Drosophila melanogaster: one gene and its partners. The protein of the gene in region 1 interacts with the protein of each later gene in a pairwise test. Each region holds a gene or a part of one and is shown on either strand. Other genes may lie near its edges. The genes, in order: Crg-1, ems and CG10147.

Evidence for each region.
Region 2: the proteins of Crg-1 (region 1) and ems interact in a two-hybrid assay, tested with the Drosophila melanogaster proteins (one large-scale study listed by BioGRID).
Region 3: the proteins of Crg-1 (region 1) and CG10147 interact in a two-hybrid assay, tested with the Drosophila melanogaster proteins (one large-scale study listed by BioGRID).

The regions. Positions count from the first base shown.
Region 1 is NC_004354.4:3,786,123-3,798,574, forward strand, and holds Crg-1 (circadianly regulated gene), read left to right. Parts: upstream 1-7,100; 5' UTR 7,101-7,284; intron 7,285-7,341; exon of another isoform or gene 7,342-8,538; intron 8,539-8,740; 5' UTR 8,741-8,969; coding exon 8,970-9,106; intron 9,107-10,537; coding exon 10,538-10,745; 3' UTR 10,746-11,217; downstream 11,218-12,452. Other genes in the region: Tlk (Tousled-like kinase), read left to right, coding at 22-282; HIP-R (Hsc/Hsp70-interacting protein related), read left to right, coding at 4,042-4,214, 4,295-4,416, 4,634-5,280, 5,355-5,546.
Region 2 is NT_033777.3:13,897,394-13,908,330, forward strand, and holds ems (empty spiracles), read left to right. Parts: upstream 1-4,459; 5' UTR 4,460-4,785; coding exon 4,786-5,920; intron 5,921-6,210; coding exon 6,211-6,560; 3' UTR 6,561-7,227; downstream 7,228-10,937. UniProt on the Drosophila melanogaster protein: Acts as a homeotic selector gene controlling antennal and mandibular segment identity.
Region 3 is NT_037436.4:6,479,866-6,490,362, forward strand, and holds CG10147 (uncharacterized protein), read right to left. Parts: upstream 8,560-10,497; 5' UTR 8,477-8,559; coding exon 7,991-8,476; intron 7,931-7,990; coding exon 7,070-7,930; 3' UTR 6,302-7,069; downstream 1-6,301. Other genes in the region: CG42747 (uncharacterized protein), read left to right, coding at 430-452, 4,366-4,697, 4,820-5,191; bulli, read left to right, coding at 8,896-9,003, 9,065-9,548, 9,605-9,997, 10,053-10,311, 10,374-10,497.

The DNA of each region.
Region 1 (12,452 bases):
ATTATTATTATTATTATGCAGAGTTTCATTCGGGGATGCTTGGCCTATCGCAAGGAGGATCGCATGGATGTGTTCGCACTGGCCAGGCACGAGTACATTCAGCCACCGATACCGAAACATGGGCGCGGTTCGCTCAATCAGCAACAGCAGGCGCAACAACAGCAGCAGCAACAACAGCAACAGCAGCAGCAACAGTCGTCGACGTCACAGGCCAATTCTACAGGCCAGACATCTTTCTCTGCCCACATGTTTGGCAATATGAATCAGTCGAGTTCGTCCTAGCTGCCAACCAAGCGCAATTCGAACTCATAATTCGCCGCCGCCGCAGTAGCAGCAGCTACATTAGCTGCCAGTAGTCAACAGCAACTTCAACACCAGCAACAGCAACTCCAAATCCAGCAATACCAGCAGAATCAGCAACTTCATTTGCAAAACAGCAGTAGCAATTATGCGGCCACGCTTCTAGATGCAGCGGCCTTTTGCTACGAAACCGTGATGGATGCAGCCCACTTCCAAAACAACAATAATAACAGCACCATCATCAAGAACAATATGCAGACAATGCCGGCAAACGCTGCCAATGCTGCTGCAGCTGCAGGGGGAGGGGGAACACCGACCTATCAGGGGAAATACAAGCGCTGGCAGCAGCAACAGTTACAACAGCAGGCGCAACTCCAACAGCAGCAGCACAAGCTGCTGTTGCAGCAAGAGCTGCTCTAAAATATGAAGGGAATGATGACAAGCGAGTTTAAGAGAACGAGGAGCTGCCTGCCACACTGCCGCCGTCAGCAATAACAACATCCCAAGAAAATTCACAGCGAGTCGCAAAAGCATCAACAAACAAAGCAAAAAACGCAAAAAAGGATTACAAAGACGCAGAGAATAGGGGACATTTGCAATGGGAAATAACAAATTATTGCATTATCTGCTGGATTGTGATTGTGGTTCAAACATTAAAAATACACTTACTCATACACACAAGGTAGACACTGCAGACTAATTTTGCCTTAAAAGAAACAAAACGAATAATGTTAACTGTAAATTTTCACTTTGTGTCCATGCATAGTTACTAGTAATGATGATATAAATATATAAATATATATAAAATATAAAAATTATATAAATGTATAAATTTATATTTATATATATATATATATATATATATATATATCTGCATAAACATTGAAGCATACTAGTAAATCTTTATAAATATATTTATATATATATTTATCTCTTCCTTTTAACGCTTTTAATCGGAAAAAACATCCCAATTATATTTTAATTCAATTTGAAATATAAAAGTCATTTTTGTTTGTTTTGTATCAAAATCCAAAAAAAATTGATTTAAATATAAAAATACCATAAACATTAACACCACACACACACACACACACACATATATATATATATATATATATATATATATATATACATATATATATACATTTGTATATAGTCGTATCTGAACCACAAACAAATCCACAGATAAAAAAAACTGAAAAATTCATAGAATCAAACCATTTTTTTATATGCCACAAAGAAAAGAAAATAAGTAGAAATGCAAGAAAAATCGAGAAAAAGCGTAATTCATGAGATCAGATCGGATCAGAAAAATCAACAGAAAATAAACCTATTTGAAGTAAAATACTTCTAAATACATAGTAAACTAATGTAATAGTTTTTATTAAAATTACACATATATGTATCGATATATATACATGTTTTTTTTTTTTTAATTTTAAAATTATAATTGTAATGCACTATGCGTAAATTGTATTAAATATTAATATCCAAGGCATATTAATAGAAATATATATACATATATAAAACCTGCAAAAAAAAAACATGAACTACCAAGCTAAATGTTTCAATAATATATAGATCTATATGTATGTAAAACCGATATGAAATCTGCCTACAGCCAGACAAAAAAAACCTTAAAGAGAAAGATCAGAAGAGGAACAGAAGAGTATGAGCGGGGAGTGAAAGATGCAAGATTCATCCAAAAGCGAAAAACATTTTTTTCTTAAGTCTACGCAAAACAAAATGAATGAAAAGTAACCCGAAATTAGTTTTTAGAGTATAAGTATAAAAAATGGAAAATATCGCGATAGAAAGAAACAAAAATGGACGCAGATAAGGACGGCAAGCAGAACAAGAGTAATAAAGCAGCGGCAAGAACTCCCTAAAAATAGCAAAGAGCATTGTAAATATTTATATAAATAATTTATGCCTAATTAAAGTTTAAATTAATGAAGAAAACCAGCAAAAAAACATAAAAAACCAGAAGAACCATTTCAGATTTGTATGCAAATTTGTATATGTACGTACTTTCCTTTAATTTTAGCCAATCAGTTTGTAAGATTAAATTTTTTTTTTGCATCTCTATAAAGAATAATGATATGAGGATAATGATTCCGATTTTTTTTTCCGTTTAATGTAACCGTTAGAATTAGCCCATAATGGTCGATATCTAAATGTGTGTGTATATCGATGTGATGTCATCGATTGTCGATAACGATTGGATGCGAGTGTGTGTTAATTTAATTTGATAAAAGATAAAGGAAAGCAAGGAATGTGAAGATAATGAAAGGAGATGCATAGAGAATGAGAGCGAATCTATCTATTATATAATTATGTAAAATGCACATCTTTAAATTATAAATTATACATATTTAAAAGGAAACTATTATTATTATTTTGATTACCATTATCATTATTTTTTATTATCACTTAACGGTTTCGGTTTGATCCACAGCGAAACCAACAACAACCAAGAAACAGAAACAACAAAAAGAGAAACAAAATAAACAAGCGAAATGTTTGATAAAAAAAACCACGAGATGTTTTAATTTATTTGTCTTTAATTCTTCGATTTTATTGAGTTTTTCATAGAGAAAGTTGTCACACTCAAGAACACACACGCAAGCGTATAAAGCTAAACAAATTAATACCTACTAAGTGTTTAAATAGTACTAAACGAATCAAAATATAAATACTTAAAAAGAAAAAAAAACGAAAATAAAAATAAAAACAGCAGCAGAAAAAAACGATGAGACAGTTGAGCAGACGAGAAAAACAAAGCCCATTAAATTATTTGTTGAGTATTTTATTAAAAAATAATTACGATAATAATTAAAAAGTTTAAATTGAACGAATTACGAAAAACAAACTGAATATACATATATGTGTGCATATATACATATATGTATGTATTATATATAAACAAATTATTTAATAGTTATGCTAAAAAATTATTTAAAGTGAACGGATATGAAAAATATTTGTATGCGTGCGAGCACGGAGAGAAGGGCACTCAGAATAGGCCATCGACACCACCCACTCCCTTCCGATACCCGAACATCACCACCAGTTTTCACCATTTTCTGACCCTTAACCCCTTCAACCAGACACACACCAAACACAAGAAAAGGCGAAGAAAGCCGAAAAAAAAACAATGCAAACACGAAATAGGCGGCGACGACAGAGATAAGCGCGAAGAAGATACTAAATCAATAAGTAAACATAAAAATTAATTAATAAATTAATTCCAAAACAAAATGAAAAAAGCTAAAAAAAAAACATCAAGAAAACAAAAGACAAAAGCAAACAAAAAACATGACGAAACATTGAAAATAAAAAAATACTAAAATGATTAACAGAAAACTGTTTTAATGTCAATGGGGGCAGACATAAACTTCTTCAGCAATAGTTATGGACTTAATTGTGGCTCATTACATTCTCGATCCTATGTGAATATATATGTATTTAGTTTTGGGGTATGTGGCGGAAAATGGCTGTTATCTTTTTAAAAGTTGTCACATTTTCCAGCACTATCGTACGCACAAAATACTGAAAAATACAAGAGCGAAGCGATAAATACCGTCGATTAATTCTCAGTACTTTTTCATGGTATTTATGCATACCAATCGATAGGGCAGAGCAAAAGTGGACGTAAAGCTAAGCAAATATTGCTTATTAATAATATTAATATATTAATATATCAGATCTGAAAACATCGAGACAAAACGGAATTCAGAAATGGCTTTCACAATGCAAACCGGGGATCTGAAGAAGCTGAAGTACTTCATCGACTTTGCGCTTGAGAATCCCACCTTCTTGAACATGCCGCAGCTGCAGTTCGTCAAAGATTTCGTGGAGAAGTTTGGTGGCACGGTGCCGCCTGGCCAATTCAACGGTGGCAGCGCCGGAGGGTAAGTTAACCGAACTATTTGACCAATTTTCAAAACAACACGATTGTATGATTTGCTCATCCCGCGGCTTGTTCTTCCAGCAAGTGCCCATTCGGCGGTGTTGCTGGTGCCAAGGCCAACGAGCCGGCCAATGCCCCCGAGGATAGCGAGGACGAAAAGTCCCTCTCCGATCCTGAGTCGGACGTGGAGCTGGACATGGAGGGTGAGTGTGCAAATTTTGCCGAGTCACGTGGTCATTGGGGGTCACAACCCTGGACTTTGATGCGTTGCTGTCGCAGTGCTGGCAGTTGCTTTATCTTATATCCTTTCGACACTGCAAACTTAGCGTTTACCCAAATTCGAATCCTGCAGTATTAATATATGTAATACGCCAATTAAAACTATGTATCTTCTATCCGTATTACTTCCGACGCCTTCAGGTGTGATCGAGGCGGACAGCGACCCCGCCCAACCCATGGGCAACTACAGCAAGAAGGCCACCGAAGAGGAGGTGGAGCAGGCGAGCGAGCTGCGCGCCCAGGCGGCCTCCGCTTACGGCCAGCAGAAGTTCGACGAGGCCATCGCCTTGTACACCAAGGCCATTGAACTGAGCCCGGGTAATGCCCTTTTCCACGCTAAGCGTGGTCAGGCCTTCCTCAAGCTGAAGAAGCCGAATGCCTGCATTCGGGACTGCGACGTGGCGCTGGAACTCAACTCGGATTTGGCGGCTGGCTACAAGTTCAGGGGACGCGCCCGTCGCCTCCTCGGAGATTTTGAGCTGGCTGCCCATGATTTGCGCCAAGCATGCAAGCTGGACTTTGACGAGGAGACAGACGAGTGGCTAAAGGAGGTCACTCCGAATGCCAAGAAAATCGAGCAGCATCGCTTGAAGCAGGAGCGTCGCCAGGCAGAGCGTAAGATCAAGGAACGCCAGCGGGATCAGAGGCGCGCACGTAAGGAGCAGGAAAAGCACAATGCCAGCTCTGGTGGATCATCTGGAGAATTTTCCGGTGGGAATCCTGGTAACGGAAATATGTCTGATATACTGGGCGCCATGTCAGATCCCGAGGTGTCAGCCGCCATTCAGGTTCGTGAATACTACTTTTCTATTTCTAATACAAATGCAGTAATCATATCGTTGTTATTTATTAACTTTCGTAGGACATTTTGTCAAATCCGGGTAACATCACAAAGTACGCGTCGAACCCGAAGATATACAACCTTATCAAGAAGATTGTGCCCGGTGGAGATGTGGGTGCTGCCTTTGGCCAAGCGGGTGAAAAGGCTGGAAAGCCGAGCGAGCCTAAGCCTAAAAAGGACTCCGCCGACTTCGTCGATGACGGTTTGGACTAAGGTTTAGAAATGGGGCAGTAGTAAGACTGAAACATGCGTCGATAAAAAGAAGTTAACAACCAATTACACGAAATCGAGCGAGATTACAAAACAACAAAGAAAGAGAAAGCAACAGAGTGCGGTGAAGAAGATGGACTACACGAAAAACAAAAGGGAAAGCGGCTGCCTTACACATTTTTGCAGCTGAGAAAAAACAAACATTTCCTAAGCTTTAACTTAACCAACACGTAAAAGAACGGGCGACAATGGAGAAAATTCAAATATTCAAAATACTACAAGCAGTCAGAAGAATAAGCAACATTTATTTAAATCGAGAAGAAAGAGATGTTGGAGATGCTGGAGACGCTTCTTCACATATTATTGAAAAGCATACTTGCGGCCATTAAAGTGGCAAATGAAACTATACAAAGGAGCTAGAATATGCTTAAAAACTTATCACATTTGCAGTTCACAGGTAAATCAAAAGATTGTCCTGTGACGAACAAAACATAAATGTTTAGACGTCAAGTCAGATTCAAGGGTGCCGATCGATCTAGTTGAACTAAAGCTCGAGAAACAACCAAAAGAAAATAAAAAATATATATATGTTCAATAATATTAGCCTAAATTACCGAGAACGAAGAAACGGATAAAACTAATCGCATCATTTGGTCAAACAAAATTGTACTGAGTAGGATTTAAATCATATTGTAAGCAAATGCATTTAGCCCCCCAACATGAAAGCAATCGCCCATTCATTCACACACTCATTCACACACTCATTCAACCAGTGATCAATGGAAATAAATAAACGAATCAACAAGAACCCGAATTGCTAATGTCCATATTTTTTGGTAAACGGGTAAAAGGGGAGATACTTTTGCTTTTTTTTCGAGCGGGTTGGACAGATGGAGCCGTAGTCCCTTAAACTATCCGGCGCATCACCTGTGTGGGTTGCTCACTTTGTATGAAGGACATTGGGTACGCATGGTGTATGAAAGCGTCGATTAGACGCTTCAATGGCTGCACCCTGCACCCTGGATCCAGAACCTATCTACCGCACCCCGCCCCATGTCAGCGCGAAATTGGCTAACGGACAGCTTGGCGCACATGTTCGATTATGGCCAAATCGAGCGACCAAGCAGAACCAGCGGCACATGACCTGGGCTCAGCGATGCCAAGACCTGGGTGGTTGTACCTAGAGGTACTTGATTGCTTTTTAAACTCAGCTTGGTACAGCGTACACGACTGATTATTTAGAAGCTATGACAGCTTTCTTTGCTTTGATATTTTTCATATTTATATATAAATTATAAATATATATTTATAAGCAGGTGATATGGTTGAAACATATATCAACGAATATGTCAAATATAATACAGTGAAGTGTCTGCATTATTTTATTGTACCTGCGCCATCACAGGTACGGCTCCTCTTTCCATCGACTGCAGACGTACCGCTTATGTGCATGACTGGGTGTCCGGGGTGGTGGATGTGAATGTGGATGAGTGGCAGGAGGGCGCAGGCGCAGCTCAGCCCAACAGCCAAGTTGGTCTGGACTCCTGGCGGCCCATCGCATTCCGTGGCCAGTCGCAGCGCGAGACGGTTAGCCAGTTAGCCAGTGCGGACCGACTAATTCCCAATTTCCGCTCTTGACTAAACTAAAGATTGAGAAATAAAGAAAGAAATATCCTTCGTCCGTCCCCCAGACGAAGCAGGTCAATTTTTTTTTCGTGTTACTTGCTCTTTTTCGCCAAGTGTGAGTTGTGTGTTTTGGCTTGGCTAACGTGATTGAAATCGAGACAGCCGGGACATCATGATTGTCAACATGCCCGTCAATGGAACGGGCAGTGCATCCAGCCCAACATCGAATCCCAGCAGCAACAACAACAACAATAGCAGTACCACCAATCAAAATGATACGAACACTAATCTTCCCGGTGATTACAACTTTCTTAAGCGCAAGTTCGACGATCAGGAGGATTTGGCTTTGGGCCACGACTACGAGCCCATCGGGGCAAATCCCTGGAAGAAGCGACACTTGGACTACGATGCCGGGGACCTGCACTTCCACCTGCAGCTGGAACAGCCACCTAGTAATCCGCCAACCAACGCTGCACCCGCCCAATCCTCGACGTCCTTCATCAACGATCTCTTTTCCTATGAGAGCAGTCTTCTGGTGCCCGCCGTCGCCTATTCGCACTGTCCACCATCGAGTGCTCCATTGGATGACAATGGTGGTTGGACCGGTGGCGAGCTGCTGGAGCTGGATCATCGTTATAACTCCGGCCTGCAGGCGGAACTGGGGCAATTGAATGCCACTTTGCCGCCGCCACCACCAACATCATCATCAGCTCAAAATGCATCCAATCATACGCAGCAGTCAACACAACAGAATGTCATTCCTGGTCAGAACCCACATCAGAATCAACATTTTCTGGTGCCGCAGAAGCAGCGGATACAGTCGGCGGGCCGACGCACCTCATCCGGTTCGGTTAGTGGGGCCAATGAAGCCACCGAGGCGGACTTCGAGGATAAGAACCTCTCGTGGCTGCTCAACTTTAAGTTCGACGAGTTCCCGCACCTATCGCCGCACAATCAGATTCACGGACAGGCGGTCAATCTGCCGGAGGGCAGTGCTCCACCTCATCCACCATCGACGGCAGTGCCGATCGCCACGTCGCCCTGCAGTTCCTCCTCGCCATCATCCGCCTCCGCCGCATCGGCATCCGCATCCGCCATAAGCACAAATCAATCTCTCGGATCGGGTTTGGTGGATCAACGGGCCAGATCGCCCAAGAGTTGCTCCAGTGCAGCGATGCCAGCGGCATTAGGAGGAGGAGGCAACGGCTCCGCTGGCGCTTCAGCAGCGGGGGGCGTGGCCGGCGTGGGCTCCACCAAGACTGGGCGCAAGTTCGAGGAGCTGGTGATGGAGGTCACCTCGGAGTTGGACGGTAACGACATGATAGTTGCCGAGCACGTTGTCGTCGAGGATACTTCGTCCAAGGCGTAAGTGTTGCAGAAATAAAACAATATGACAGTGTCAACGGTTAAATTCTATATTTCCTAATTTATTTGAAACATCTATTTATTCCCGTTACTCATAGAGGAAAAGGGTATACTAGATTCGTTGAAGTATATATAAAATTTGTTGATCAGGATCAATTTTTAAATTTTTTTCTCATTTTATTCCCCAATATCTATCGACATCCCAGAAAGATGATTAAATTTCGCGTTCGCATTCACACTAGCTGAGTAACGGGTATCTGATAGTCGGGTAACTCGACTATAGCATTCTCTCTTTTCTTTTAATATATTTAACAATCTTTCTCTCTGATTTGTGCGTTCTCCATTTGCTTTCAATGCCGTCCTCCAATCGATGCCGCCAACGAATTTCCCCAACCACGCAATCGCCGATCCACTAAACCACCGAACCACCCACCAATGTGGCTGAAATCCAAAACCAACCACCGCAAAACAAGCAGGCCAAAGAAACCACCGTTCACCTACACGGAGCTCATCGAATACGCCCTCGAGGATAAGGGTGAGCTGACTGTGTCGGGCATATACCAATGGATATCGTAAGTACTGTCCCCCATCGAACCACCCACTGAATCAACCACCACCGCCCACCGCCCACCGCCCATTCGGATGGACGCCATTTTGTGGAGTGCTAGCCATCCTGTTATTTTTGTTGATGGCAAAAAACGCCAGCCAGGATGCAATTAAACAAATCTCAAGCATTTCGTTTTGGCTATTCCCGTTGGCCATTTGATTTCCTCGTTCGCTGGGTATTTCTTCTTACCATGTTTTCGTTCCTTGGTTGGTAACCAAACTTAAACAAAGTGCCACACACCGGCAAACAAACGATAGCGGCCACAATGAAAGTGCAAAAAAATTAGCAGCTCAAACAAATTTATGGGCTAGAAAATTGCATTTACCTTGCCTTCGCTCGCATAAGGTGAAAAACAAAAATGTTGTTAACCAAACTATTTGCGGGTTGTTCAACAAGTTGTTTATGCCAAACTGGTATTCCCTGGTATTATCAGCTTATACGGATAGCGACCCATTAATTTTGGCTTTTGGATTGTTTAGTGGCAATTGTTGAGTATACCAAATTCTTAGTTTTATGATGATAAGTGCTTAATACGGCTCATTCCGTATTAGTTAATCATTCAGAAGTATTCAAAACTAGTTAATCATTACCTACTTTTCGCAGAACGTTAAAATTTTTCAAAATTCCATTTTTACCACGCTGAGTTCGAAAATATCAATTCGTCAAGAATCGCTGACGAAGAAAACAATAAGTTTTAACACATTTTTCAAGGTTCATCAATTTGGCCTTTCGCCCCCACTGCTCCCCACCTGTTTTTTGTTATTCATTTCTTTTGTTGTCTTCGAATACCCGAAATCAGTGTAAATATTTGATGCCGCAGCCGCGAATGTTGCGTGTAAATATCCTATATAAATTTACATATAAAACCACCCCGCTCGGGAGGGGGAGGCAAATAATTTATGACATTTGCCCATCACCTGCGCACCTGCACTCCTCACCACCCCCCGCATTTAATGTAATGAATCGACAGTCCAAGAAGTTTCGGCTCAGTTCGAATGGGCGTGCAGTTTGGGTAACTTTTCATTAACCATTCACAAATTTACCTTGCGGCCCCCAGTTGGCTGGTTGGTTGGCAAACGGGGGGATGAAATATTAACATCCAAGGCGTATTATTAGAAATATATACATATATGTCGAAGAGTCATCAGGACGCCCTTCTTCCTCTTCACTATTCTCGTTGTCTGCGCAACGTTTTCTGGCGCGTAAGCGAGACATGTCTGTTCTTCGCAATGATCGATCACTGACTGACCCAATCTCTTTTCACAAAATCAGAATTATACGTAGTTCTTAACTCTACACGCATTACCAACACATTTTGGAGACTCACTCCAGTCCACATACATAAACACTAATGCATTTAACCGCATTTTTCTGTACGCTTCCGTTATTCCTGCAGGCATCTACTTCCTCCCGCTCCTACCATCGACCAGACTACGTTAACGGTTCTCTGTCGCGCATCAAAAGAACAGAAAAGACGCCTGCATGGCGCGCCAAGCAGAAACACGCAATTACTAGAAATGTCGTTACATTTAAATGATCTGCGACATATAAATGTAGATATGTATATAAAAGCTGCAAAAAAAAAACATGAACTACCAAGCTAAATGTTTCAATAATATATAATAAACCGATATGAAATCTGCCTACAGCCAGACAAAAAAAACCTTAAAGAGAAAGATCAGAAGAGGAACAGAAGAGTTTGAGCGGGGAGTGAAGATTCATCCAAAAGCGAAAAACATTTTTTTCTTAAGTCTACGCAAAACAAAATGAATGAAAAGTAACCCGAAATTAGTTTTTAGAGTATAAGTATAAAAAATGGAAAATATCGCGATAGAAAGAAACAAAAATGGACGCAGATAAGGACGGCAAGCAAAACAAGAGTAAAAAAGCAGCGGCAACAACTCCCTAATAATCGCAAAGAGCATTGTAAATATTTATATAAATAATCTATGCTTCATTTAAGTTTAAAATAATGAAAAAAATCAGCAAAAAAACATAATTCTAGAATAAAAATCAAGAAAACCAAAGACAAAAGCAAACAAAAAACTTGACGAAACATTGAATATAAAAAAATACTAAAATGATTAACAGAAAACTGTTTTAATATCAATGAGGGCACACATAAATTTCTTCAGCAATAGTTATGGACTTAATTGTGGCTCATTACATTCTCGATCCTATGTGAATATGTATGTATATGGATATGTATTTAAATTTGGGGTATGTGGCGGAATTTTTTCGAAGGATCTATTCGCTTTATTGTTATCGATTTCTATATACTAATAAATACCAGCTAGGTCAAGATTTGTATACGCTGTTCATAGCTCCTTCTCGAGGGCCTTGGACAGCCGTCTATAATGGCCGAGGATGCACTGTCTCCGGTGCCGCAGGCATACCCGCTCGCTGCTGAAACGCTTCAAACAAACTGAGCAACGTCTGTGATCACTTATTCCATTGGGCAACCCGTTGTGTCTGCTAAATACGGCGACCACTTTCGCCTTGGCACAGCTCTGCTCTTTTTTTCGATGTACCAAAAGATAGCTGGTGGATTTGAAGTAACGTTTGCACTGAAGACATCTGTAGCACTGCCTGCCGCTATGGTTTCGCAGGTGCTTGAGCAACTGCATCTTTGAGTGGCTCATGGCGTTGCAGAGTAGATGTGGGCATTTAAAGAGCATTGATGACTTCCTGGGCGCCAGAGCGGGACAGCTCAGACTGTGACGCTTCAATAGTTTCTTGTGGTCCACACGCTGACCACAGCGAAAGCACAGAGCACCAGGTCCATAGTGCGCGGTCATGTGGCCGTGGTGCTCCAGCAAGGTGTTGGCCACATCGCCGCACACCGCGCACTCCAGCATGTCGTTGGGAAATTTGAATGTGTTCTCGCTCACGTAGGTGAGAAATTCTTTGGAATCGGAGGCCTCAGAACCGGTATCCTTTGTCCGCTCCTCTGGTAAATACCACTCCTCCGAATCGCGACGGCATTGAATGCCCACATCCGTAGTGCGCGCATTCTCTGTTTGAATGGCGCGCTCTCTGCGCGGAAACATTCCAGTGACCTCGTTAAGTTCCTTCTGCTGTACTGATTTCTTGGGAGCCTCCGTAGCGCCTCCATTGGTGATCGGGGTATGCAGTCCTTTTACCGGAATGCCATTCTCTAGCGCGTGCTTGCGTGTCACACACTTGGTCTCCACACACACGAACTCCGGCAGCTCGACGACAGGCAAAGGGAAAGGCTTAAGGCAGAAAGGGCCGTTGCTTGGTCGTTTTCCGGCGGATATCGGTTGACCGGCCAACCCCACATCCTTAGT
Region 2 (10,937 bases), on another chromosome or scaffold:
TGGCTTTCATGCTTTTCTACAAATTTACACATTTGTTGGAATTTTTTATTGGCTGTCATCATTAGTTTCGATATGGCCAGGGGTTGGGGGGGCTATTCAACTGCTGGTGGAGTCGACAAGTGTGGGCGTGTAATTTATAAAGTGTTTGCCAGGGGGAAAATTTCGGGGGAGTATATTTATGTTTTCGCTGTGTGCGGAGAGGGGCAAAGATCTGCGATAAGGACGAGAAGAGTAATTGGTTTGGCCATCATTTTGATGGGTGGGGAGGCATATGTGTGATGTGGATGGCGAGGTGTTGAATGCCAAGAGGGCGGTACTTGCTCAAAAGGTCTCTGGGGGTTACTCAAGCGGTTATAAGATGATCCGGGGGATTTTGTATTCGTTTAGCTGGTGCCACGGAATTCGAGCTCGGAATCTACTTAGCTCGGGAGAAATTAACGATAAAGATGATAATGTGTCTTGGTAGAATTTTTATGGGTATTTAGACCATAGAAAATATATATTAATCAGTTTAGATATTTACAATGCACTATCATCATACATATAGTTCTAGGTGTGTATACTATCTTGGGAACATACACGTTGGTAAATAGTTTGTTGCATTTTCTCCACTATCTATAACAACTAAATCTCAAGACCTCACTGTACAAAGGTCCTTGTATCGTTTTGATCTAATCGTACCATGTCGCCTGCTCATAAATCCCGCTCGACCATCCGGATCTGGGCAAAACGATAATGACACACGAACAAAAGTGCCTGTCAGCCAAAATATTACCAAAACGAAAGTGTCAACCAGCCAGGTCAAAGGAGGAGGGCCATCACGAGCAGGGGAGTGGGGGGTACGTGGGGCAGCGCCGGTAAAAAGTCATAAACATTACGTTGATTTTATTTCGGCAACTACCATATTTTTTATGCCCGCAAAAGGATTGTCTGGTTGTCCTTCTGCTGGCCATGCTCGAATGCCCGTTACGGAAAGTGTCATAAAAATGCCTCGAATTTGGAATGGTTTTCCACTATTTTCCACTGTTTTGCACACACGTACTAAGCGGAGGCGATACAGTGTGAGAAATAAGTGTAAGTACAATCACAGTACATAAATCAAAAGAGTTCTTTTGTTTATACGAATATAAAATATAAAACTGTTCTAATTTTAACCAAGTATTCTTGAAATATTCTCTTAATGCCTATTGCATTTTTCCCAGTGCATAGTTTTGGGGCTGCGGGAATTTCAAGGAGAAATCAGACATTTTTATGACATTTCCCTGACTACTGTTTATTCGCTTTCTCCACGCCGCCCGCCCTTTCTTATTTTTCTCGAGCACTTTTCCGACATTTTAAACATTTCTTTTTCGCCGCTGGCACTTGGCCCTTGTCAGATTTTCCCTGCGCTGCATCGTGTCGTTTGTGTATTTTTTATGATTGTCAAGGATTAGATATAAATGTTTTATGATCTTGGCCCGCTACCGCGGTGCTGGACCAGAAATTGTGTTTTAATATGATTTTACGGCTTTGTGGTAACTCGAAATACGTCCAGCTTGATTGGCTCCGATATGTCGTGCCTGAAATTCCAAATGATCCGATCCTTCGGTCTGATGCACCCTTTTCTGGGCTATTCTCTCCAAATGGGATTTGGGCTCCTCTGGAATTCGTTTTCCTGGAAAACGCCAGGCTCATCACTGTACAGTTGTTTGATGTTCTTAGGGCTGACACGCCCCCCTGCCCCCGAAAACGTCGGTCAGTTGCTACCAAGTCAAATTTTCCCATTCCCTACAAGAAAAACGCGTGAAAATGTGGCCACAAAATTCGATGCCGATCCATCATAATTTCTTGGGTCGCGTGGATTTACAAGCGCCCAAATTATCGGCAGATCGTTTTGGGTAAAATATGAAAATAACGCAGAGCTGTGAAATCGATCGATGGTATTCTTGGAAAAGCAGTTAGCGATGGCGCTTGTCCCTCAATCGAGTTGCCAGAAATTAATTACATTTAAACGCTTCGCTCCCCCATCGAGTTTTCCCCGAGTTTGTGCCAATAACACAAAGTATATATATTGGAAAAACCGAGAAAATGGGTCTGAAAACACACTCGATTCAAATGAATCCAAAACGCACACTCTAAACGCCAACTCATCATCATTAAAGTCAATTTTTCTCGTCTTCTGTTGCCTTGTTTTGTTGCTACTCAACAATTTCTGGCCATCGAATCGAACAAAGGAAAATTTGCCACGTTTTCCATTGTTTTCCCAGCGAGATAAACAGAAAAAAAAACAAAATCGACGAAAAGACAAAAAGTGAAACTGCTGTTTTTTTTTTTCTCCATCCAATTTTCAGCTGAACTGGCATCGGGAATTGGACTGGCATACTGTAGATTTATTTTCTGGATGGAGGGAGGTTCGAATAGGTGAAATTGCATCACGCTGTGCCTCGGTTTCTGTGGAATTGTTTGCAGGCTGAAAATTGTTGATTTTGACACCTTTCGGGCTGCTGCATTGTGTTCCTCTTTATTTCCATCTAATAAATGCATTTGTGCCCTTTGTTGGCTGCATTTTTTACGGTTTTCATTCCTTTTTGCGAACTCTGGCGGGGGGTCATCAACTGCCGAGTCCTCCAGTTGGCCACTTGACTGCCGCTGGTCCTGCGGCCAGAGGATATCTTTATTCGCTCATTAGCAGCACGATTGTGCTGGCTGCAGGTCCTTCGAGTCCTGGAGCTCCTGCGGTGAGGTACTCAGCTCAGTGGGCGTGTGAAATTACCGAAAATACAAGGTAAATTGCGTTTTCTTTCAACTCAATTATGCTTGATTCGTCGAAATGTTGGCCGTCTGATTGCAAGGATTCTTCTAACCACAATTGATTAAATAGATATCAGAGTATTACTTCTAAATATTTATTTAATTTAATATTTTTGATATTTATATTTAATATTTATCATTTCGACCAATACTTTTTTTACTTATAATGAAGCTTTCACAAAATCAAAACTAAAGCTCAGATGCCGAGTTTCAAATCGAATTAGCTACACACACGTTTTGCAGATTAGACCGCAAATGAAACCGACTCAGCTAAAAATCGCTGAACTTTCGACAGCATTTCGCCTTGTAATCAAAATCCATTAGTCAACATAATTACGCTTTAATGGACTCGAAAGTTGTTTATGCCTTGCGTCGATTCGAACCGAAAGCTATGGGTAAATATGCGTGGCTTAATTAGCGGCCATAAAAATTTGATAGATTTTAATCTATCGCACAAGCTGTTGTTGTGCTCTCGCCGATTCCTAGCCCATTAATCTCAGAAATCCGGCGACGAATTTGACGGCTCCGGCTGATAACAGAGTGTGAAAATAGCACTACCGAATATTATTCCATTGTTTTTGAAAAACTCTTGGGGTTTGATAGGAAATGTTATAGTGTTGACCGAGGAAACGAAGTGAGACATTTGGCACGTCCCGACAATTGATGAACCTGCTCTGATTTTGATTTGGAACTGCGATTCGGACACTACATAAATTATGCAAACTTTGTCGTGTGCCAAAAAAAAAATGTAATGCCTGAAAATTAACATTTAAATCGTAGCGAAAAATAAACCCGGTAGCACATTTCATAAAACTGTCCCGATCAAGTTTCGTAGATGATTTATGGAAACAGCAAGTTTGAAGTGCATCCGTGGTGTGGAATTGCTAATGTGGACTGGATTGTCAGCTGTACGAAAACCGGGACGTTTTAAAATAGGGAAAGTTAATATATAATATCATAAATTAAATAAGTATTTTAAATTATAAATTTTACGCCATGTTGTTGAATGGGGTTTACGAACTTTAAAAACACCATTAACAAAATACTTATATTCCTTAATCTTTAGTTTTATGCAGAAATATATAAAGAGCGTCTAACAAATCCTTGCTAAACTATAAATTTGCACAACAAAAATCCCCCTGAGCAAGGGAAATATTTAAAACGCACATCCTCTGTAAGCCTCGAAAACCCTTTTCGAACTTCCTGCAAATTTGGCCAGAGTCCGCAAACAGAGACATTTTGCCCACCTGGCATTAGATTTCCATTTAGCGCTCGTTCCGGCCCAGAAATGCAACCGCAAAAACAAGAACTATGAATGGCAGTTTAAGCCAAATTACACAAAGGCCAAGAGCAACAACAAAGTCGTATAGTGGTGGCTGTTTGAACGGAAGCCATATGCAGAAAATTCGGTAAAGGCAGCGCACCGAACTGGACCCGCCCCTCGAAAAGCAGCCATTTCACTCGCTCCTTCGCAGCTAGGCCATATCTGCAGGGTAGATAAAATCCACAAGGCGCGCGCAAAGAAGACGGCCATACTACACCGAGCACAGTGCCTCCCGCTCTGGCCCGATAAACTGGTTTGGCCTGTACTGGCGAAGAGAGAAGACTCGCCGCAGCTCAGCTCTCTTCGAGTAGCGCACACTTGGTGGTGTTGCCGGGCTTACCGGATTTATTCAGACATCGAACGTCGTCGAGAGCACACGTCTATATTCTCCGTCTTCCGACACAAAAAATAAGAAAAACGAGCGCGTCGATCGCCGTAGAGCACAAGTCTTGACAACCCGAGTGTGTGTGTGATTAATAAAGTAACTAAACGTATATATGAAAGCGTTTCCAATGCGTCGCTTAGTGTGAGAAAATCAACGAAACATAGAGAGTTACAAATAAGGACTTCCCAGAGGATTAGACAAACAGAACAGATTAGATTAAACAGAAAACCGTGCTTAAACCCTCGAAAAAAAAGCCGCCAACATAGCCGAACTAACCGCCGTATTTATGACTAAGATGATTCCGCCGGTTCCCACCGCCGCTGCAGCCGTCATGATGCCCACACCAAAGCAGAAGATCGGTTTCAGCATCGAGTCCATTGTGGGCAATGATGTCAGCACCGCCGGCGGCAATTCGACGCCCGATCTATCCGGTCCCCAGAGTCCGCCGCCCGGCGAGCGCAATGTGCCCGGTTCGCCGCCCCAAACGCCACCAGCCACACTCACCTTGATCCCAGGCTCGCCCCCGCACCATCTGATGGCTCCTCCTGCCCACGGACTGCCCTATCCGCATCCGCATGCTCAGCAGCAGCATTTGCAGGCACCACATCCGCATCCGCATCTATCGCCTGCGCAGCAACATGTGCTCCACCAGCACCTCCTCATGCAGCAGCAACATCCGGGCACACCCAAGAGCCACCAGGACATTCAGGAGCTGCTGCAGAGGCTGCACCACAATGCCGCCATGGCCAGCGGCCTGAGTCCGCTGCAGACACGCCTCTCCCCCGAAACGGAGCAGCCCCAGATGGCCGTCTCCCTCAAGCGGGAACGCTCACCTGCACCACCTGCCATGGAGCAGGCCGAGAATCCCGCCCAGCGCATCCAGCCACCGCACACGCCTCCCAAATCCGTGAGCCCCCAGTCCTCGCAGCCCTCGTCTTCGCCCACTCTGCTGATCAGCAGTCCACATGCCACACCGCCACAGCAGCAACAGCAGCAGCCGCCCCCGAATTATCCAAAGCCCGCCATGATGCATCCCGGAGGAGCTGGACCCATGATGATGCCGGGCATGCCGCCCGCTGGACTCGTTCGCCCCTTTCCCATGGGACCCGGAGGACCACCGATGCCGCAGGGTCAGCCCGGCTTGCCGGACATCAAGGCGCTGCCGCCCTACATCAACGCTCCGCCGGAGCTGCCGCCTCAGCACAATCCGCATCTCATTGCCGCTGCCCAGTTCCAGATGGCCGCCGCCCTGCAAGCGGGTCATGTGCTTGGTCCAGCGGCCGCCGCCGCTGCTGCCGCCGGCCTGCCGCCCCATGCCGCCCAGTTTATGCCCAATCCAGGCATGGCCAGGGATAGCTATCAGCTGTACCCCTGGCTGCTCAGCCGCCATGGAAGGATCTTCCCACACCGATTCCCTGGAAGTAAGTATCTTTTGGAATGATTCTTTATATGCGAAACAAAAAAAGGAGATTTAGGGAAAAAAATAGTTCTTGGAGTCCAAATTGAAGCCAAAAAATGAGAAATTTCTTTAAAGTAATAATTCTAAACCTTCATAAATGTAATAAGAAATGAAAGATGCTAATATGTTTTAAATTAGTTTTGATGAGTCTCTTATAATTGCATTATATTGTCATTGCTAATTTATTGCTGTGAGTTATGATCTTAAATACCGATGACTAACCGAAACCCTTTCTTCTTTGCCTCTTTCAAGGTTTCCTGGTGCCCCCGTTCCGCAAACCGAAACGCATCCGCACCGCCTTCTCGCCGTCGCAGCTGCTGAAGCTGGAGCACGCCTTTGAGAGCAACCAGTACGTAGTGGGGGCAGAGAGAAAGGCCCTGGCCCAAAACCTCAATCTGTCCGAGACGCAGGTGAAGGTGTGGTTCCAGAACCGACGCACCAAGCACAAGCGGATGCAGCAGGAGGATGAGAAGGGCGGCGAGGGAGGATCGCAGCGGAATATGCACAACGGCAGCGGCGACGAGGACGACGACGAACTGATCGACATGGAGATGGACGAGTGTCCCAGCGATGAGGAGCACGAGCTGGACGCCAGCCACTGAGAGAAGCGGCCAGGAGATAGTCCTGCGGCGGTCCGTGAGTTCCTTATCCTGGCGAATGCAGTCCAGTTCCAGTTATCGAGGGTTCCCAGTCGAATCTCGGCGAGAGTAACATAGTTTGTTTTGTTGTGATATATTCTTAGAGCGATCCCAAGGCGTTAGGCTAAGTGTATATAGATAGGAAAGTATTAGAGACCCTTTCTCTCCATCCACACTTCTCTCTCAAGATCCGTGCCAAATCCTTGCGAAGTTTCGAGGTTGAGTAGAGCTCAAAGAATGCAAGTTGTTTCCTTTCTTTCCCAAATATCAAATGCAAAAAAAGAAACACTGAAAAAATAAACCTAGGCTAGACACCACCAACTATAACTGTACAAATTTTATGACTTAAGCCTGTAAATATTCATGACATTACTTTTAATTAGTGAATTCTTCAAAACAAATCGTACTCGATCCACTAGCTATTGTATAATTCTTGTATATTGTATGACGATCTAGCATTTATTTATGTTTAGTCTTAAGCACGAACCTCTAGAGTCCCTCAACTGCAGCTGGATATTATTTAAAGCCGTCTAATATAAAGCCCTAGTTGCTAGTAACTACATCCTAAGCTAATACGATTGTAAGAAACACAAACGAATATGATCATATAAAATATAAAATATTCATTATGAAAAGAAATCGAAAGAGAAATGTTTGATTGATTTATGTGTTGGGGGCAACCACTTATTATCCAGAATACTAGATAATTTATTTATAATTTAAACAATATTGGTATGTTTTGAGTTATGGGTGTGAACTTTAACTTCTCATTCAGCTTTATTACTTTCCTTCAACAATATTTTACTTTAGTTTATTTTTTCTTGTTTAAGCCTTGGCATCTCCGCCCCTTTTTAATTGAGTTCGTCCCACTGTGTGACAGAGTAAAAAATTATGCGCCGTCAATTAATTAGCGTGTGACATTTAACATTGTTGTTGCTGTTTCTGTCCACTGGAAATGGTGACAGGTGCGCTGGAAAAGGGGATTGAGGGGGTGCGGCCGCGACTGAAAAGAGCGGGATAGCTGAAGGAGGCGGCTATAAAATGCATTTAGCGATCGTTATTTCTTATAGATTTCATAAGCATTTTAATTGCACAATTTAAAATGCAAATCGTGTTTTATTGTAGAATTTAATTGAGCGCAGTTCGTGTGAGATCAAAGGGGCGGGGGTGGATGCTGAACGGGGGCTTTTGGGGGTTGGGGTGGCTTTGGAAACTGGTTAACAAGCCACTCGAGGTGTGCTAATGATCTAAAAGCCAAATTTATGATTATTGAACCACAAATTTATGCGAAAACTGTGGCGGTATATAAGCGCAGTTTTCATTATCGCCAAATCGGCTATCAGCTAACTGAAATCGGCTATCGAATGTGGCCTAATGAATATGCAGTGGCTAATTGCAATGGGCAAACTGCAAACTAGATTGGTCCGGCTGATATGGCTAATTAACGGACATAACGAGTCTAATTACTAGCTGTTAACAGCACTAAATTGTGGCACTCTGTCAAAGGTCCCCCCCCTTCAGTATTGAAATCAGGGGGGGTTTTTGGGGGAACCTATCTATTGCAAACACAAAGCTTACAATTGCAATAGTCGTAAATCAGAGTGGGCAAATTATATGTTTCATCGGTGATCGAAATCGCGGCTTTAGCCATAAACCTTTCAGCTAATGGCAAGTCTTGTTTGCTTAGCAAACACGCACCTTTGATGGAAACTTCGAGATTCCAATTCAAGATTCAAGATACACGGCCCATCGCGAGCGGGAACTGTAATTAATAATGGGGCTGGGGCACGCCCCCTGCATATGGGATTGGGGGCTTATCTGCTGGCCTCCTTTATCCAATATCACTCTTCAAATGTTTCTGTAGAACAAAACACACACTGGCGCAAAGGGACGGAGAGAAAACGAAAGCCGAAATCGGAATGAAATCCCTTGCTGATAATTCTCGGAAATTAAAACACAATTTGGTAAGTTGTTGGCTGTTGATGATGTTATACATATATCGAGCATACATATGTTTGTACAACTTGTTTTGCCTCGTGGCTTCGCTTTTGTTGTTGTTGATTTTCGAATGCCTCAAAAGGTTTGTTATGCGGCGCGCCCCAAAAAAAGAGATATAGTAATAATAATGCCAACAACAACGCCGCATTCACTTTATGGCCAGCACCACGCACCACAACTGGCTGCCCGTTGTTATTGTTACTTATCCCATAAAGTTTATTAAGTAATCCAATTTGGCTAAATTAGCTGTGTCTCGTCTCGAAGTTATTTCGGATTTTAATTGAGTTGCGGCTTGAGTTTGAGTTTCTCTTTGCCTACCCTCCCATCTCCATTCATTGCTCATTATTGCCTGTTGGATTTCACCGATCGCTGATCGATCGCCGGCATAATGCAAATTGTCAAGCCAAGATCGAGACCCCAACCCCAACCAGAACCCCTTGGCCCCTTAATGGCCATCCTTTGGAGTGCAGGGCTCAAGATCGGGACGTGCCATATCTCGGTGTTCTGTTTAATGTGTGTTTCCTGGAAGATTAATACGGCGAAATTAAGGAAAATAAATAAATGTCAGCGCTGTACAAGATCGTTATCGCATTTAACAATAATTACCCTGATATGGGATATGCTAACTAATCTGTTAAGCCCGCTCATTCCGGCCAAGGATCGTTCCGAGATGCGTTGCGATGTGCTGGCCAGGCCAACAGGTTTTTGGCCCCAAACGAAACGACTGTTTAGTGCTTTCCGTTGTCGCCCGAAACACCAGACATCATCGAAGGTGTCGCCGGCCGCTTGTTGTGTTAAATTAAGTAATTAATTTTAAAGTCCATGTTCGGTCCGTTTGTCTAACGAAAGACTTAGGCGACGAACTTTTTGGGGCCGCCACGCTTGTTAACCCCACTTCCGTCATTCACTTTTGCCTCGGAGTCTTGCGACTCGATCTTGATCTCGATCGGCCGACTTCAATTGCTTGTAATTTACAGAACGATTGTTCTCATTCCTCGGCGGGCACTTCCTGCGGTTCGGCTAGATTGGCATCACTTTTCCATACCCTCGACATTTTGTTTGTCGTAATAATAATTCGTAAGCGTTTTAATTGAATGATCCGACGGTGGGCGTCTCCCGCTCCTTAACCACACAAGATATATAAGATATACACTCCAGATCCGCTGTGTCATTGCCAACTGCTCGACATGTCCCGGGGTAAACAGAATAAACATTTGACTCGAATTTGGGCCCTCAAGTGCTTAATTAAGAGCCGCAACAACGTCTCGTTTTGGCTCTTGTTTATTTAACAATTTTCTGCGGCCAGGGTCCAATATTTTGATGTTTTCTAATTGCCTCAATTATGCTTCGCTCTCCGGGTGTTTTTTTTGACTGTTAGATCACGGATTTCTGGCGCCAGACGCCGTCTCTTTCATATGCAAAGTGCCTTACCGATCAAATATCGAATGCTTTAATTTGGTATATCAAAGAGAGACATTATGCTGCTGCTGCCAATCTCAGACTCCCTGCCCCCTCCCCCAGATCGTAAAAGCGTCAAATTTCTCAATTCTCGGTTGCCCATTACCAATTCCCGATTTCGTGGCCAACTCCATGGGGCGTCCTAATTGTTGATATGCATCTCGGTTTCTCTGCCACTCAGTTATTGGGTTCGTCGAGAGTCGCTTAATATTATTTGGTGAGTTTTATGTTTTATTTCGAATTAGCCGCATAAATATGCACTCTTTATGACAACCTGATGTCTGTTGTTACTGTTTTATGCTCGCTGAGCTGGAGCGCCCACGCTGCGTATGATTGTTGGCATTTCAATGATCGATACAGTGGTTTAAATTGGTCAGAAGGGAACTGAGAATTATAGTTTTTAATAATATTAGAATTTGTTTCTTATAATATTTATTAAATTGAATATATTTCCAGTTCAAGCGTTTTGTAATTGTTATACATTATATTTAGTTTAGTATCAACCCACTGTGCCGCGATTGACCATCGAAATAAATGCCATTCCACGCTGCCCGCAGTGCAATGCATTATTCAAGCGCTGGAGAAAATCCCGCCTTGGACATTTAGCTGGTTAAACAATCAATTAGTGACGACCGCAACTGAATCGCTGATGCCGTTATTGAATTATACTCGAAGCTATCAGGGGGCCACATACAAATGTGTATGTTCGTAGGACCCATGGCACCGCTCCTCCCCAAAAGGTATAACCCCGCCCTGACAGGCCAACAAATGCTCGGATTGCGTGCCAGCCTCAAGTTGGTCTGGCTAATTATGGGTTTGCCATTTGGGGCCTGCATATGGGTTCTAGTTCTACACCATGTGGCTCAATGTAAGGTATACATGGCT
Region 3 (10,497 bases), on another chromosome or scaffold:
AAATCACTCAGGCCCAAGTAATTCAAACTTGCAGTGGCTTTTAAATGCCAGAAACATCCTCGCTGTTACTTTTTTCGACTCTAATCTAATCGCAACAAATGGCAAATGTGTTCTTTGGTTGCTGGATAATGCAATTCCGTTGTTGTCGGTGGATTTTATCGGCCACAGCAGATACTTTATATTAGCTTAAAATTTTATCGGCGTGTCGGTTCGCGTCACACGCAACTGGCTGTAAAAGCATTTGCGTGGCCCAAGTTTGTGTCTTGAGTAATTCGTTCGCTCAAGTTTGTGTCCTAAGTCATTCGTTGTGGCATTTGCCATTTTGTCGCTCGACAAGTTTGACATTTACTCCAAACTAATTTATGCCCGGCAGTCTATTAAAATTCTGTTTATTAATTGGTACACATTTTTCCGTTCTTATCTTTGCAGAATTAAATCAGCGAATGCCAATGGTAAGTGAATAAATGTTTTCTTTATTCAATGATATTATTTAAATGAGACAAATGATTTGTAGTGGGTGATTAAATGGGAATCATCAGGTTATATAAAGTGTGTTTGTTTATTAGTTAGCAAGCTAGGTATCTTAATAGATTGCTACCGCTTTCAAAGGCTTACATTAAATGCCTTACTTTCCCATAAGAACTTTACGACCAAAATTGTTATCCATCCAATATCTCACATCTTCTAAAAAAAAGCCTGATGTTTTTTTGCCACGTCTGATTAATTAGCCAAGCCAAGTCAGGTCAGGTTTTTTGTTACCTCTGCTCATCATCGAGGGTCTTGCCTTCTCTTTGCATTTTCATTTCCATTTTTAATTGCATAATTCTGCCATGGCATGCAATTCAAAGAAATCTTTCGTTCTGGGGACCTCAGCTCCCTTTTTTTTTTGGTGTGCCAACATTTTAATTTGTTTTCTGCGACTGGCGTGGAAGGAAGGTAAACTAACAAAATGAAGACAAATTTTTGACGACAATGCATGAACTTCACGTTCGTGCCACAAATCAGAGATGCTGCTGCTCCTCCTGCGGCAGTTGAAACCGAAATCGAGAGCCATGAGTATTATATATGGCTCCAGGCTACGTGCTGGCAAAAACTTTCGAGTAAAAGAAAATTTGTAGACAAATTAAGGCAGAGGCAAAACAATTGTCATGGCCGCAGACTTCGTCAAACACGTTTGAAAATCGTGCAAAATGGCTAGAGGAGGGCTGGAGGACTCTTTCTGCTATTTGATTTAGTTGCTCGATTCTGGCGAGTCTTTCAGCATTCAGCAGTAGGCGAATTTTTGACATCCGATCCCTTTTCAGGTCGAAATCTTTCCCTTTCTTCAGCTCACTCCCTTTCTTCCGGAGGCTTGGCGCCAATTTCACCGTCCGTCTTGTGGGCCCGACAATCGACATGCAGGACAAATTGTTGACGGCATTTAATGTCACAGCAGCCAATTAGCTGTCCCCATGAAAATGCTCGTTTCTTGTTGGTTTCCTTTTTTTTCTTTGGTTGGTTTGTTTATTTGTATTTTGCCAAAAAGTTTTTGTTACCCACTTGTTGGGGTTTTTTTTATATAATTTTCGTTGGTGGTACGCACGGCTGCATGTTGATCCAAGCTAAAAAAGAAACAAACCGAGAAACAAACAATCGCCACAAATCGTTAAACTGTCAGCAGCTTTTAAAGCGCGTGATTATGTCCAAGTCACCGTTGAGAGTTGAGAGACAAGCGCCAGTTGCCACAGAGTTTTTTTTTCGGATTTTTTTCAAGTCTTTTTTTGCGTCGAAAGAGAAAATTTTCAATTGCCCAAAAATGCACATTTAAGTGGTGTTTATTTGTTGCAACATTTTTTTGCAAAGGTGAAAAAGTGGGGACTGAATTGAACTGAGTTTTTATGGGAGTCTGTAAAAATGGTTAGACATTAAATTTGTTTTTTATGAAGTTAGCTAAAAATGTGTCGAAAATGTATATTATATACATGAGTAGTGTTTATATCTGTGCACATGTTTCGAAATTACCTAATTATCTACACAATGCTGGAATAAGAATGTAAAAAACTTACAAGAAAGAAACAAAGGATTTCCAATTTGCATATTTCAGCAATCGCAATTAGCCATCACAGCAAATGGCAATTGCAACATTCGATGGTGTCAATTTACTTGGGAGCTCTTTGAAATTATCTTTGAACAGCAGCCAACGTGTCGTATGCGTAACATGGTCTTAATTATGCATACAAAGAACTCACAGTAACCGAGCAGTACAAAAAAATAAATAAATAAATAAATGAAAAATACTAAGTGACATTGCATTAAACGGGTAAGACATAGCACCGCGATTGGCATTATCTATCCGACTATTAAGACTTCATTACACATGTCATATTTGCCATTTGCGCAGCAAACAGTAAAAATAAAAATCCAAATAGCACACATTAAATTCCAAAGCCAAAGTGCTCGTTAATTTTTCGTTTATTTATTTTTGATTTTGTCCGCTTTTCATCTGAGCAAAAGTCGACTGCGAAATATTTTGTTAACAACAATTTGCCGCTTGCAGTTTCCCTGCTGCCGTTCTGGTGACTGCGATAAGCAGGCGAAGATAAGACAGCCGCTATAGCTGTTAAAATGCAGTATGGCACAGTGATCCATAAAGTAGTATGAGTTCAGAAGATATTTTCGTAATATACATTCAGTACATTTCTGGGCTATCTACCACTGTGCTGCAGCATTGAGAAACCCCGAAAGAAATCGTAAGTGCAATGCAGTTGCAGTCGCAGCTCAGTGCAACTTGCATCGGCTCGATTCAGCTGAGTTAGCTGTGCAGTAGCCGCGGCAACATCGTTAACACGGCGCAAAAACAGCCATTAAAGCCAAGTTTCAGTTGGAGCTGGGTCTCTGGATCTTGGAGCTGGGTCTCTTGGAGTCTGCGACTTGTGTTTGCCGCATTGGTGACATGCACAAAATGCATGTATATGAGCACCTACGTACGATAACTTCGGTTCGGGGGTAATAATCGCCGCAGTCAAAACCATTGCTGCTGGACATTCGCTTAGCCGAAGTACGTAAATCATAAGCATAAAACAGACTTCGACTCCAACTTCGCCATGCAAGGTGCACTGAGAAAAAATTGTACGCTTTGAAAGTAGTTTATACGTTTCTTAGAACAAATTGAGTTTGGCGTAGCGATTTATTTTGTATGTTTAATTGTTTTATAATTTTGTATTTTATCAAGCTAAGTTTCTCTTACTTCTGGCATATTTCTGCCAGTGCACATGGAACTGCATTATGCATGTGCATAACTTGGGAAACCATCGCTGCCGTTGCGTATGCTCCACGCTAATTAGCTGAATCGCCCCAAGTGGCTCCGAGTGGCACCATCTTTTCCAACTTAATGAGAGTGAAAGGCGAGTTAAAATATATAAAAACTAAATACACACATTTGCAAGCGACTCTAGGCAAATTAAACGGCGATGAGTTGGAAAGTCGAGACGATGGCCGTTGTGGTTCGGATGTTGAGAACAGGTCCACCGCGTTTACAACCAGCAATTATACGTGTTTGCCTACTGCGATTCTCAATGAGCGTTTGGCGTCAGTTGTCTATAAATTATGAGCTTAATGACGTCCAGGGTTTTATGGAATCCCGGCTATTTGGATTTTGAGTGCCTTCAAACGCTCGGTTGAGTCACACACACACGGGAGCTCCCATTAACCTTCCCATGCCCGCCTGGGCATTATGAGATCACATGTGCTGATAGCGAAAAGGAGAAACATTTGGCATTTTCGGCATTTTGGCTGGCTGGCTGCTGCTGCTGCCACTGCGGAAAACCACTCGGTGGTGCAGCGGTGCAGTGGTGCAGCGGTGCAGTTTGTTTGCCACCTCGCTGCCAGTTGACAGCCGTTTAATTTACGCTTTGTTTGTTTGTTTGTTTCTGTCTTTTGTTTGCGTCCTGAGGTGAATGTTTGATTTATAGCCCGATTATAAACCGAAATGTCATAGATATCTGCTGCGTTCGAATTCGGCTTGGATTCGATAGACTATCGTTCCCTAAAATATAGGAAACGAAAATCATCAAATTAATATTTGATACTATTACCTAAAAAGTAATAAGGATGAGTTTAAAAATTTGCCAACCCAACTGCACAACATTTTTTTTGGCTATTTATAAAACTAATCCACATTCCTTTGGCTGATTTCCCAATATTTTTTAATGAAGCAAGTGTCACAGATAATCCACACAAATGGCAATTGTAATTTTCGTTCAATATATACTCTTTCGCAATTATCGCTGGCCAGCGGACAACGTGTCGTATGAGTAACATGATTTTAATTAAGCAAACAGAAGATAACGACCTCGTGGCTAACCCCTCTATGAATTCCCCTTGCAGGTGGCCGCCCGCAGCCTTGGTGGTGTCGCAATAACCGAAACGGTGGCCAAAATCGATCGCCCATCTCGATCAAGCACTCGGCGGACAGCATCCGGCGGCCCACGAGCAACTCCGGCGTTTGGACCTGGCTGGGCGGCAGTCGTCGCTCCTCCGCCGGTCCCGACCAGATCGGTCCGCCGTCGACGTCGCCGGCGGAGAACCACTATACCCACATGGACGATGCCTACAGTCCGGTGGGCGTGAGCGAGGCGCTCTACGCGGAACTGGATCGCGAGTCCGTGCGATCCGCCAATCCCTCATATCAGAATACGGCCTACAGTCAGTGTGGCGAGGTGGGTAGCGCAAATAAAGTAAAATAATAGTTGGTAAATTGGTTTAATACCTACAGCCCAATTCATGACAGAAATTCAGTAATAATTCAGAAAATAATCCTGCAATCCACCCTTCATTACAGAAATACAATTACCAGGGCCACGAGCAGGACATTCCCATGGTGGTCTCCTCGGCACCCAGCAGTGCTTACTATTCGGATCTGTCGGTGACCGCGATGCCCGGCGGAGCGAGTGGCAGTAATCAGGGCGCCTACGAGATTGTCGGACTGAACGTGATGTCCCAGCCGCTGCCCAACTGGGATCATCATGGCGGAGGAGTGGGAGGTGGCGGTGTTGTGGCTGCAGGAGCAGCAGCCGCCATCCTTGGAGGCGGTGGTGGTGGGGGCAATGGCCTTACGCCGGGCGAGGCTGCGGCGATGACGCAACGACGAGGTCCTCGACTGGCGGCCATCAACGAGACGAGCACCAGCACAGTGCCCTCGGACTATGTCTAAATGGAGTAAGCGTTTAAATACAAACATAATGTGAAATGTTCAGCGAGCTTAACATGTTAATAGGATATAGAAGTACGTTATATACACCCCACAGATCTAAGGTTAAATTTACATAATATTTAACACTGGCATACCATAGTGTTTAGTGTTTAGCATGGACTTGTGTCTTTGGTTAATGTCTGAAATTATAATCTGTACCCGTTGCCGATATTGGGATATATTTATACACACTTACAAGGCAAGAATGTATTATATGTCTAGTTTTTATGTAGTCTCTAAGCAACGATTTAATCGTGGGTGATATTTAGCCTAAAAATATGCTATATTCTTATGTTCTACGTACTTTAAACATTTTCTAAAAATGTAAAAACGACAACAAACGCATTTTTTCATAGGCTTAGAACGAGTGAAGTGAACGCGATGGACAAGAAATCGTATTTCCCCCCAGGATCAGTACACGCAAATATAGAAACGATATATACATACGAATACAACATATTTATACACTCAATATTTACAGCAGCCGAAAAAAGAAAACGCATTTAGCTCACCAACATATATAACTATACAAATATATATCTATAACAATAACTGAAGAATCATATTTACAACGATTTTAATGCAACAGATTTCACCATATTTACCGGGGGAAATGATCGTGGCACGTCATATCATTTACCACACCATTATACATATGTATGCAAAGCTATCTATATACTATACCATATACAATAAACAGACTCACGACCTTTAGCAGATGTACTTTAGTTTTTAGTGGTCCGCGGCAGGAAGCGAATCCTCTGCCGATTTATTTAGTAACACACACACACACACACACAATTCCTGTACATTATTGTTTTAGTTGAAAATATAATTAAACAATTATTGATATTTACATTCTGAATCCCAAAAGGAAATGGTTCTTTATTGGAGTATTTATTTGTCGATACAGTAAGTACAATAGTACTCTTAAAGTATATAATTTCATTTTTAACCGAGTAAAAGGTTTTAGTTCATAAAAAATAGGTAATAAGAAAACAATTTTATAAATTCAACAAACTTAAAGTTTAAGAAACAAACAGAACGAAACAAAAAACTATAACTACACTTCATAAAAGAATATGCACTTTACCCTTTACTTCCTGATTTGGATAACTTGGCATATTCTCAAACGTGAATAACTTAAACCAAAGTTTATTGCAAAACTCCCCGTATCCTTATACTTCCTGATTTATTGTCAGTATTCGAAGTTATTGTCGTTTACTTAAAGTGTAAGTTGCAAATGTGACTATAATACTAAACGTCTTTTACCCTAATCTTCCTGATATTTTCGTTGTTAAGGGTAAATTGACATACATAAATGGTAAGAAACTAAAAGTGCAGTTTCTTTAAAATAATTCACTTTACCCTACACTTCCTGATTAGTGTTATTAAGGGTTATTGTCTCCATTCATAATCTCTTCTTGTTTTGTTAACATTATTTGGGGTTATCGTCATATACTTGTACCTTCCACCTTCTGATTTATTGTCATTAACTTATACCCTACACCATAAGATTTATTGTCGTTATTGCGGGTTGTTGTCATATTAATTAGTTTCTTGATAAGATAGAAAAACTACAGCTTATTAATTAATGCCATTTACCCTAAACTTCCTGATTTGTTAACGTTATTAAGGGTAAAATGGCATGTATTTGTGCCATTAGAAACTAAGACTAGTTTATTAAAAATTGCCTCTTCCCTGCTCTTCTAATTCGTTATCGTAATAAATCCCTCAATAAAGGAGGTATGTAAATATTAATTAAGTTGTGAGTCAAGTAAAATACGATATGAATGTTGTACTTTCCACTGAACCTAAAATAGAAATATGTTAACTTCTTTAACCCATGCTAGTCAGTTGCAGCAGAGCACAAGCGGTCTGCTGATTATCCCCCGATTCGTGGACCTTGCGATGGGTGCGCAAGGCAGAGGGTTGTATAAATTTCTTGCCGCAAACGTGACACTCAAAGTTCTTTTCGCCAGTGTGGGTCATTTCGTGATATTTTCGCGTGTCGGTGGTGGCAAATTTCTTTTCGCAATAGCTGCAGGCATAATCTCGTGCCTTCTCGTGGATTGCGCGGATATGTTTCTTAAGACTCGTTGAGCTGTTGCAAACTTTGGGGCAATCCTTGCAGGACCAGGTCCTTTCCAGAGTATGATAGTTGATATGCAGTCGCAGTTCGTTTTTGGTCGTCTTCTTGAGACCACAGTAGGGGCAACTAAAGTTCTTTATGCCCTGGTGACGCATCATGTGGATCTTGAGTTTCTCCGTGCTATAGAATCGCATAGAACATTCCGGCAGTTCGCAGGCATATGGCAATACCAGCTGGTCACCGTGTGTGAACCGATGCTGGCTTAGGGCAGAGCCAGTCTTGAACACCCGACCACAGAACTCGCACATATGGGTCTTCAAAGGCTTGCCAATGTCGTGAGCCTTGCTTTGGTGGTATTTCAGCGAGGCCTTGTGCCGGTACATCCTGTTGCAGCCCTCCTCCTCGCAGACAAACCGCATGCCCACTTCCGAGTGCTCTAGCTCGTGCTGCCTGAGGTTCTCGAATCGGTTGAAAGCTTCCTCGCATCCGGGCTCAGTGCAATGATACAGCATGTGTCCCTGGTGTTCCTTCTTGTGCAGAATCAAGCGTTTCTCCTCTCGAAACTCGTCGGCGCACAAGTCGCACTTGTATGTGGTCAATGGCGGCTCCTGAAATCATTGAATACAACTTAACTTACACTCCTGTTTAAACCTTAAACCCAAACTCACTTCCAAAGCTTTCTTTTCCGTTTCCGGGGGTTGCTGGACATTTTCGGTGAAGGTATGGAATACCAAGGTTGGCGGTGCCTGTTCAGCGACTATTGGGGTATTTTGTGCACTCAAATTGGTATCACATATAATCATCTCCGGCGGCTCCAATAGAAGTTCTTCCAGCTCCAGCTCCTCTTCCTCATCTTCATCGACCTCGTAAACAGGTTTCCTGCGATCTATTTTCTTCCAAGTTACCAGACTTTTAGAACGCCACTTATTGTCGGCTATAATGCAAAGTGCTCGGAAGGAGTGGAACTTCTCCAGAAGCTCGTAGCACTCCGAGCAAATTTCGCTGGGCAAAATATCCTGGTCATCAGGATCCACCACCAAATTTGTGCACTCCGAAAATTTGACGGCGAGATATGGATGGTGCAGCAAATTGTAGGCCTCGTCGTCTCTAGCCACATCGCTGGAGCATACGCGGCATTTGTCCAGGTGTCCCATTAAGTGGTTGAATCAAAGTTATTGAGACCTTTTTTTAAATTCACAAGAAAAAATATTTTTCTGTGTCCTGTCTGCCGTTTTTTCTTATCGCTGTTGTTTGTATACTAAACAGCTGATAGGGCTGGCAAAAATACCGCTGATAGCAATAGTGATGGCAAATAATAGCGTGAGTTGGAAGGGGTTAAATAAATATAGTATAAATGTTTAAAAATATCTACTGTAAGCATACCACAAATAATGTTAAATACATTTATATTTTTAATCCTTGCACGTACAATAAATGAAATTAATCGTGACTTAAAACAGCTTGTTACTCGTGGCACATCTCTAGCACCCTGTGCTAAAGTCACATCTCTAATGGGGGGTGTATAAAAAGTTGTGCTGTTGCAGTTTGTTATTTATTTTTTTCCAGCACAACAATGGATAATTCCAATGGAATCCACTACATTGAGCTAACCCCAAATCCCATACGATTTGATGCTGTCAGCCAACTAACCAATGTGTTTTTCGATGACTCCAACAAGCAGGTATAGTTAAAACATGTTAAAAATCCATGTTGATGATGGCTAAAAATCTATATCTGTAAAGATATTTGCTGTTCGGTCTGGAGGAGCTACTGGTGTGGTGGTCAAAGGTCCTGGATCTCCCGACGATGTCGTCATCTCCTTTTGCATGAGCGACCGTGGCGGTGCCATAAGGTCCATTAAGTTCTCGCCGGACAACCAAATCTTGGCCGTTCAGCGAAAGGAGAATTCCGTGGAGTTCATATGTTTTCAGGGAGATCAGCCTCTGCTGCAGGACATCATTACCCACCAGGTGAAGACTCTGATCCATGGCTTTGTTTGGGTCCACAATCGAGAGGTGGCCCTGATTTCGAATACCGGCGTGGAGGTCTACACCGTAGTTCCTGAGAAGCGACAGGTGCGCTCTGTGAAATCCCTGAGCATTGGCATCAAGTGGTTCGCCTGGTGCTGCGATGCCAATGTGGCTCTACTGTGCACCAGCGAAGGAAACTCCCTGATTCCGGTGCTGGTCAAGCAGAAAGTAATCACCAAGCTGCCCAAAGTGGACTGTAAGTAATCCTTTTGGGTTAAAATCCTTTAAAAGCGTTTTAATCTTTCCTTTCAGTGGGCAATCCAAGTCGCGATGTCCAGGAGAGCAAGGTCACCTTAGGCCAAGTTTACGGCGTGCTGGCTGTGCTTATCCTCCAGTCAAATAGCACCACCGGACTGATGGAAGTCGAGGTGCACTTGCTCAATGGACCGGGCTTGGCTCCACGCAAGTGCCATGTGCTCCGCTTAAGTCTGCTTGGTCGCTTCGCCATCAACACGGTGGATAATCTGATTGTGGTGCACCATCAAGCTTCGGGCACTTCGCTGCTATTCGACATCTCCCTGCCCGGAGAGGTGATCAATGAAATAACCTATCATACACCCATAACTCCAGGGCGCTCCATCAAACCGTTTGGCCTGAAACTGCCCTCACTTTCGCCTGATGGACAAATCTTGCAGTGCGAGTTGTGTAAGTTCTTTAAATATCCAAAAAGTTACTTTATTTGACACTTATACCCATGCAGATTCCACGCACTGGGTACTGTTCCAGCCAAATATTGTAATCGATGCCAAGTTGGGTTGCATGTGGTTTTTGAACCTCTGCATTGAACCATTGTGCCAACTGATTTCGGATCGCATTCGACTTACAGAATTCCTGCTGCAACGCAGCAATGGCAAGCAGATGCTATTAAAAGTCATTGGACAATTGGTAGATGATCAGTATAAGGGAACTCTATTGCCAGTCCTAGAGACCATCTTCAGTCGGATTAACAAGATCTATGCGTAAGTTAAAGACGTTATTTTCATCAATATATATTTATTACATTATGCATGGTATACTTTAGGTCTTGGGTCCAGTTGGAGCTGCAAAATCAAACCGCTCAACCGTCGAACGTAAAAACTACTACCCTGAAACAGAGCACACCGCCCATTGTGCTCATTGAGCAACTGGATATGGTGCAAATCTTT